Linked DNA regions of Drosophila melanogaster. The protein of the gene in region 1 interacts with the protein of each later gene in a pairwise test. Each region holds a gene or a part of one and is shown on either strand. Other genes may lie near its edges. The genes, in order: CG42393 and CG4676.

What was found.
Region 2: the proteins of CG42393 (region 1) and CG4676 interact in a two-hybrid assay, tested with the Drosophila melanogaster proteins (one large-scale study listed by BioGRID).

Annotation. Positions count from the first base shown.
Region 1 is NT_037436.4:18,040,571-18,044,735, reverse strand, and holds CG42393 (uncharacterized protein), read right to left. Parts: upstream 2,004-4,165; 5' UTR 1,893-2,003; coding exon 1,626-1,892; intron 1,551-1,625; coding exon 1,469-1,550; intron 1,406-1,468; coding exon 1,347-1,405; 3' UTR 1,058-1,346; intron 1,003-1,057; 3' UTR 866-1,002; intron 719-865; 3' UTR 522-718; downstream 1-521. Other genes in the region: CG32192 (uncharacterized protein), read right to left, coding at 3,750-3,808, 3,892-3,973, 4,047-4,165.
Region 2 is NT_033778.4:13,234,065-13,237,694, reverse strand, and holds CG4676 (uncharacterized protein), read right to left. Parts: upstream 1,716-3,630; 5' UTR 1,681-1,715; coding exon 1,440-1,680; intron 1,388-1,439; coding exon 774-1,387; 3' UTR 640-773; downstream 1-639. Other genes in the region: CG4679 (uncharacterized protein), read left to right, coding at 1-381; Qsox1 (quiescin sulfhydryl oxidase 1), read left to right, coding at 2,798-3,630.

The DNA.
Region 1 (4,165 bases):
AAACAAAACCCAGGCGAACACAAAAAAAAACAAAAAAATGTGACACACTGAAAGCGAGAACACAATAATTATACAAACAAATATTTATGTATGTATGTATGCACGGGTTGGTTTGTCGGGGTTTCTAGGCGGCGGGGAGGGTGTTGTGTGCCTGGCAAGTGCAGGCGTATAACGTGAATCTAAAACATTTCCTGAACGAGCGAGCGAGACGGCGGTAACAATTAGCGAAAAGTGAATTTGATTACAGTTGCAACGGGGCGTATGAGTGACGTACTTGAGTGCCGCCTGCGATCGAGCTATCGCCGTCTCCCTTCCGCGCCCTTGCCCACACCGTTACAATCGCATTGAAACTGAGGCTGCGTAACGGTATCGCACTAGGCCAAGTTACAAGGTCTCGTCGGTAATCCCACACCCAAGCGGTATGTCCTCACAGCGATATTTCCATGATTGCCAACTGGCATTGCATTCTCCTATTCGAGTTATATTATTATTATTTATAACTAACAGATGTGAAGTGCATTCTCGTTTCATAACACGGCTAGGAAACCCTTTTATTTATATTAGGATAATTTATATTTCACTTGATACGGGACAAGTGTTTTAAATTTGTTTGCTGATAAATTTCGAATTGCATTGCAAATTTTAGTCCATTCGTTTCGTAGTCACTTCGAATTTCCACGTTTTCCATATACTGCTGACTAGGTTTTACAAAGTACAACTGAATCGGGAAATTAAGAAAATAGAAATTAGAACACGAAGTACAGTAGTATTCCAATGAATCGACTATCAGATACCCGTTACTCTTTTCAGTTAATTTTGTTCAGTAACGGGTATGAATAGTGACAAAAAAATATTTTGCACTTACATGATGTAAACATATTGCAGACAATATGATATTTCTTTTCTAAGACCAATAAAAATATTTATTAAGATTTATAGAGCACTCAATGTAGATCACGACACGTATTCCTTTTCCATGCAGCATAATTTTACCGCGTATATCTAATTAAAAAATACAAATTATTTAAAAATATAAAATCTTCCTTAAATGACTTACATGCTGTGTTCTTAATTTTTGTGCGGACTCTTTCAAAATGGTATAAAAGAAGTATTAGCCTTGTTTTGTGCACAGTGAATGTCGAATCTGCCCCGTTATTAAAGTTCTTTCTTACTGAATAATTTCACCACAAAATCGAGTAGCAGTACAAGGAATATTTAAACAAATAGTGTAACTGTACGGCAAGCAATAGCTTAAATCTTTTCCAAAATTTTATAATATATTTCAATAATCCTGCTGTCAATTTTAATCCCTTCCAGTCCACTGCTCTTGCTTAGATCCAATTAATTTAATTAAAGTTCTCTTTAAGATATCTGCATAATTTCACTGTGGCGGCAATGTGCACAACTAAATCGAGAAATATATGTAAATAATGCAGTTGCAGCTAGTGCATATAAATTTAATACTTACTTAAAGGAAATACATAAAGGATGTTATATATTGGAAAGAAATAGCTTATGATCTTGCCAGCGAAGAAGACCCCCTTTGAGTTCTGATATAAAAAAAGAAAAACAAGTTATTAAGCTTATTAGATGGCCAAATGCGAATTATCAGGAGCTTTGCTTACCAGGTGGATTCCAACAGCTAGTAAAGTTCCAGCAATGACGTACGAAAGGGCAAAAATCACATCCATCGAGTAAAGGATGCGGAAAGTTGAGGGAGACATGTCAGCACCATGCATATGCAAATAAAAATCCACGACTGTAATAGAGCTTTTCAAAAGTATTACATTGTGAATCGAAAAAATGAGCATGAAGAGACCGCATGAAATGCAGAAAGCGGCATAGAAAATTGAGCAGCACCGAACTGGTTGTTCCTCACACGATTTACACATTGTTAAATTTTTCAAAATATTTTATAATTATTAGAGCAATAACACGGTGAATTTTTTGTAAGGAAACAAAATTTTGAGCGACTGACTTGTGTTAGTACAAAAACTGTAATGAAATAATATTCGTAGACGACTGCGACGTGCGAATTTTTGGAAACTTTCGGCAGCCTACTTTGTTTAACACAGTAGATCACCAAAAAGTAAAAGACTTTAATATCCTATTTAAAAGTTAAAATCTTTAGATCAATTTGTGTAGATAAAAAGAAATTTCGCACTTAACATATAGCTATGTCATTAAGAAAGTGCAGTATTCTTATCAACGAAGGCTTGTAAAGCTGACTAAATGAATATTTCTTTAAATTTACACCAACTAATTATTTTGTGCTGTTCACGATGAGAGATGCCTTCATTTTATAAAAGAATGAATCACAGGATCTAAGTGCACACTCATCCCTTTAACAAATCACCTCTAATTTTAAGCAATACCTTTTGATTCCTTTTTTACTCACTCGAACCACACCATCACAGCAGATTTTCATTTAGCGAACCGCATCTTTAAAGGTCCATAAAATGTAGATCAACATCACTGGGCACGTGGATAAACAATTTTGTCGGTCTTTTTCTAAGCGTACCTAGTAGGTACTACCTACATACACCTTTTAAAACTTGCTGAAAATACATTCCCTTCAAATAAGCCCATCTTTAAGTGATTCAGTTCAGCATATGTATGTAACGCCGAAAAAACAAATGACCTAAAAAACACTTCCTATATCTGTTGCTCGCTTTTTATTAAATTTAAAGCTAAATTATACATTATCCTGAATAAGTGTATACCGATATACATAATTAAAAAAAATAATTAAAAAATTTCCATTTTTCCATTTATTTTTCGATTATTCCCGAGGTAGCCATGTAAAATAATGCTCAGACTTGCATTACACAGAACACTGCTTTGAGGATACTTTAGTGCATATATACTTTCATATGGTCACAATTCTCTCCTTTACAGTGCTGCAAAGCTTCTTAATGAAATTAGTGTACAATTATATAAAAGAATGAATGACGTCAAGACACGAGCTTGAAATCGTGGTAATGCGAAGAGTTCTTTGAAAATATTTATTTTAATACAGTTTTCACTTATTTTGGTATATAGTTTCACAAAAAATTTTCCTCGGAATGAAATTGGTTTGCTGCTATAATACAAATTTTGAATTGCATTGCAAATTTCAGTCTATCCGATTCGTAGCCACTTTGAATTTTCACGATTTCCTTATACTGCTGAATATTTTTACAAAGTAAAACTGAGTAGAGAAAACAAAACAGAAATTAGAACATGGAAAAAGAACTATAGTCGATTGAATCGACTATTTCTTATTCTCGTTACTGGCATTTTTATATTTTATTACTTGTTTGAATTGATTGAAAGTATTTCTGATCAAGAATATTTATACTTTGCAGCGTCGTAATCGCAGCACAAATAATTAGCCTTGTAACGGGTATAAGTATTTAACACTTACATGCCGTAGACAAATGATTACAGTATTAGATGGTAATAGGATATATGTATCTATTACAACACTCAAAAGCAAAGTCAATTTTGATCATCGGTCGGCACTGCGAATTACCGAATAATTTTCTTGCTGTGCATTTTTTCCACGTATAACTAAATCAGGGGAGAATAAATTTATAAATGTTATACACTTATATAATTAAGCACTTACATTATGTTAACTATTGTAAAAGCTGAAATGAGTCCACAATTATGTATATATATATACAAATGTATCCTTTGTTGCATCCTTGTGACAGTCAATTTTGTTATCGTCGAATTTATTAGGTTTGAGAATATCCAACTCTGCTCTAATCAAAGTTTTCCTTTAGATATCTGCATAATTTTATCACACAGCCAATATGTATAACTATAAAAAAAAAACAAGAAAAGAAAATTATATGAGTGTGTATTAGTATAAAGGTCAAATGTAAAAATATGTTATACACTTACCTAATGGAAATACATAAACAATATTATATATGGGAAAGAAATAGCTTAAGATCTTTCCAGCTTTAATAAATCCCTTTGTTTTCTTAAAAAAAAAAAGAAAAAACAATGGTGATTACTAAATAGTTCTAATATGAATTGGCTGAACGGTTGCTTACGCTTTTGATTCCCCAAGCTAGCAAAACTCCTGCGAGGACATACGTAAAGGCAAAAATTAAATCCGAAGCGTACAATATCAAAAGCTGTTTTTCCGTCAAATCAGTGCCATGTATGTGCA
Region 2 (3,630 bases), on another chromosome or scaffold:
GCGCTGGATATGTTCGAAAGGGTTGAGGAGGCTATCAAGCGTCTCCGAAAGGTCTCCTTCACCGGCCAAATGCTGGGAGATATACTCACGCTTCTCGTTCGCGGTGGTAGCTACGAAAAGGCGACCGAAGTCTTCGCCCACATTGACAAGAACCAGCACAGAATTCCCGGAACACCAAGCCTAAATGCTCTGATAGAATTTGTGGACGCAAGTGTGCAGGAGAAGTCACCCAGCCAGGCGCTGTTTGCCCTGCAATATGCCGTTGAGAACAACTTTGATTCCAGGGAGTTAGCCAAACGTATTCATGAAGGATTTACCCTAAATGAAACACACCTGTCTAAGCTGAAATCGCTCGTAGGCGAAAGTTTCCTCGATAAGTAGTAGAGTCTTTTGTAAATTATATAATGAACGCTGTTAAATAAATAACCATTTAATAAATACTTGTTTGGTTTCATTAAACAGATTAATTTAATACATATAATAGACATTACTGAATGAATACACAGTATTCTAAATATTTTGTAAAGCTTTATGTTAATAAAAGGCTTTGTACTATTTTAACTTGTAAGCTGATCAAATGTGTGACTTGTAAACATTAAAAATTAATTTCCATTGGTCAAGTAGAGAATAGTAAGACGTATAAATTTGGATACTATTTCCAATTCAGATGTTGACTAGTGAGTCTTAAAATAAACAATACTGATTTTGTTATGAAGTAGATATAAGTAAATGCCTCTAATGAATGTCAAGAATGGGTAAGACACAATTCAGATCTATTCCTCCTTTGGAGAAAAGGCGGCTATGGGTTCCCAGTTCATTCCGTCGTGTGGCAGATCGCTGCGTAGAAACGGCGACAGCCAGGTGAGATGCATTCTCTTGCCCAGAACCATCTCCAGGTTACCCCGCAAACCGCGATCGTACTTTCTTGTGCCGCGCTCTCGTGTCACCGAACCGCTCTTGAATATCGACCAGTGGAAGACAAGGAGCAAGGATGATATGGCGAAGCCCAGAAGGGTGAGATCATATATGACCAAGTAGAAGGACTCCCAGCTTGGAGACAGCATCAGGCTAACCACGGGAGCAAATATGGTGAACAGCGTAGACCAGCGCCAGTAGATGTCCAGATGGAGATGCCACAGATAGATGCTCTCCATGATGGCGGCCGCCAAGGATCCGATGATCATGTAAACCAGGTAGTAGAAGAAGTACCTGTAGTTGTGATGCCCGATGCAGCAGCAAGTGAACCGACAGTGGTGGTCCCGCTTCAGCACGCACACGTTGCACACTTCGCAGTGCCAGGATCGAGGTGGCACCAATGTCTGACAATCCTGGCAAGAGTGCCACCGTGCCAGCTGCGCCGCATCCAACGGTGGCTTCAGCAGCTCCTCTATAAAGACAATCTTAGAAGGGATACCACAAAATCACTGCTTGCTACCCACTGCGGATACTAGTGTCCACAAGCATGCAGGCCAGCATGTTGGATGTGATGTTGAAGATGAGGAACAGGCTGGCCAACCATAATAACGTGTACCAAATCCCTCCGATGGCAAACAGTTCCGGCATAACAATGGTCACATGGAAGATGTATGTCACGGGCACAAAGACAGCCACCAGGAGGAAACATGCGAAATCCGAAATGGAACGAGGTTTAACGCGATCCCACGAGCGCAAAATCATCATGCTCCCGTTATTTTTTGTACCCCCCAACTGAGACAGTGCTGCAAAGCGATTTTTGGCTCTGCTGCTAACGGTAAGACTGTTAAGTCGAGTATGGTGAAACGGTTAGAACACAACTCTTTACGTTAGGAAACCCGTAAAATGTTAAATAAGATTGAATTTAACAGAAGCAATCCGGTTTTTAAAGAACACAAATGATTTAATTTAAAGAAATATAAATATATAAGGTAATAATAAGTAACTTAATACGAATAAATCAAATGTCATAAACGATGGTATATTAAAGGAATACAAATGTTATAAGCTTAAGTTCTTAAGTTTGCTTTATATTATTACATAAAAACTTGAAATTAAAAATAAAATTTTATTTGAAATTAAAGAACGACTTTATAATGGGGATTTCTACTGTGAAATTACAAAAACAAAAACCATACAAAATTGATAAGGCATAGCGCTTCGATGAAACTTTGCTTTGTTTTTTTTCTTGGAACTTTTAAAGGCGATTCAATTAATATATACGTGTGCATAATAGGTTGGGGTTTTTTTTTGCGGATTATCGAAAACCATATGACGAACGAGACAATAAAATAAAAGAATATGTTTAACTAAACAATGTAAAGTTTTAAATTGTGAAAAATAATCATTTCCTTGATGTAGAGTGCAAGCAGGTATAAAACATTGCCTAGCCTAGGTGCACTGTTCTTTTTATATTACTTTAATAATTTTTTTCTTTTTTAGGTTTTAAAATTTTGGGAGCGAACTAGTTCGCAGTAAAAATGAATTCGTGTAGCTAGTAGTTTATACATATATACCAAATGACTTTTACTGACAATAAAACAAATTAATAGGCAAAGTAATTTAAAAATGCACAAATTATATGGCACGAAAAACGTTTAACATCGTTTCGCTTCGCGAGTTTTGAAAATAGCTGAAGAATCGTAGCTAGAAAGCAGACGATTTGGCATCCCTGGCAGCAGTTAATCAAACCACTTGCGACCGTAAAACATTCCAAATGCTTCGGTGAAGTTAAATCTTATCGCAGCAGAGCAGTCGCGTTCCACATCGCATTCCGTACGAATCGCAGCCGCAACCGATCCCGCAAATTGGGTAGATCCGCAAAATGTCGGCGACGCACCTGGTGATTCTGGCCGTCGCTCTGCTGGTGGACATCGCATCCGCGGGCGTTCCCCTTCCGCGATACGAGGCGCTCCTCAAGCAGCAGTCCCCTCCATCGGATCCCACACTGGGTCTCTACGACGACGGGGATAAGGTTATCCGCCTGTCGGTCGACAACTTCAATGCTACCGTCCTGGACCAGAATCGCGGAGCATTAGTCGAGTTCTACAACACTTACTGCGGCCACTGTCGCAGATTCGCACCCACGTACAAGTCGGTAGCGGAGCACCTGTTGCCCTGGTCCGAGGTGCTCATCGTGGCGGCCATCGATTGCGCCGCCGAGGAGAACAATGGCATCTGCCGCAACTACGAGGTGATGGGCTATCCAACGCTACGTTATCTGGGCCCCGGTTTCCAGCCGGGTCCTCAGCATTACGGGCAGAGCCTGCATACGCAGGATAAAAACGAAATCCGCGAAATACTAGCGGGTATGGTGGCCGCAGAGAACCTGACCAGCAGCCACAACAATTCCTACTGGCCAAACTTTCACTACTTAACGGAGAACGATTCAGCCAGCAGTTTGTTCGAAGGTCTCAGCAGCGCCACGGAGTACGTGGCAGTGGTTCACGAACCGGAGAACACCACTCTAGGCGTCGAGGTGGCTCTGTTCATGACCCAGTGGCCAGCGGTGAGGGTCCGGCGCGTCATCGATCCAGCCGTGGCCGCCAAATTCAAGATTGATCCGACCAATCTGCCCCTCAGCTTGGTGGATCGCAAAGGTGAAATTACGGCGTACGCGCCGGAATCTACCAATGGTGAATCGTATGCCAAGAAGCT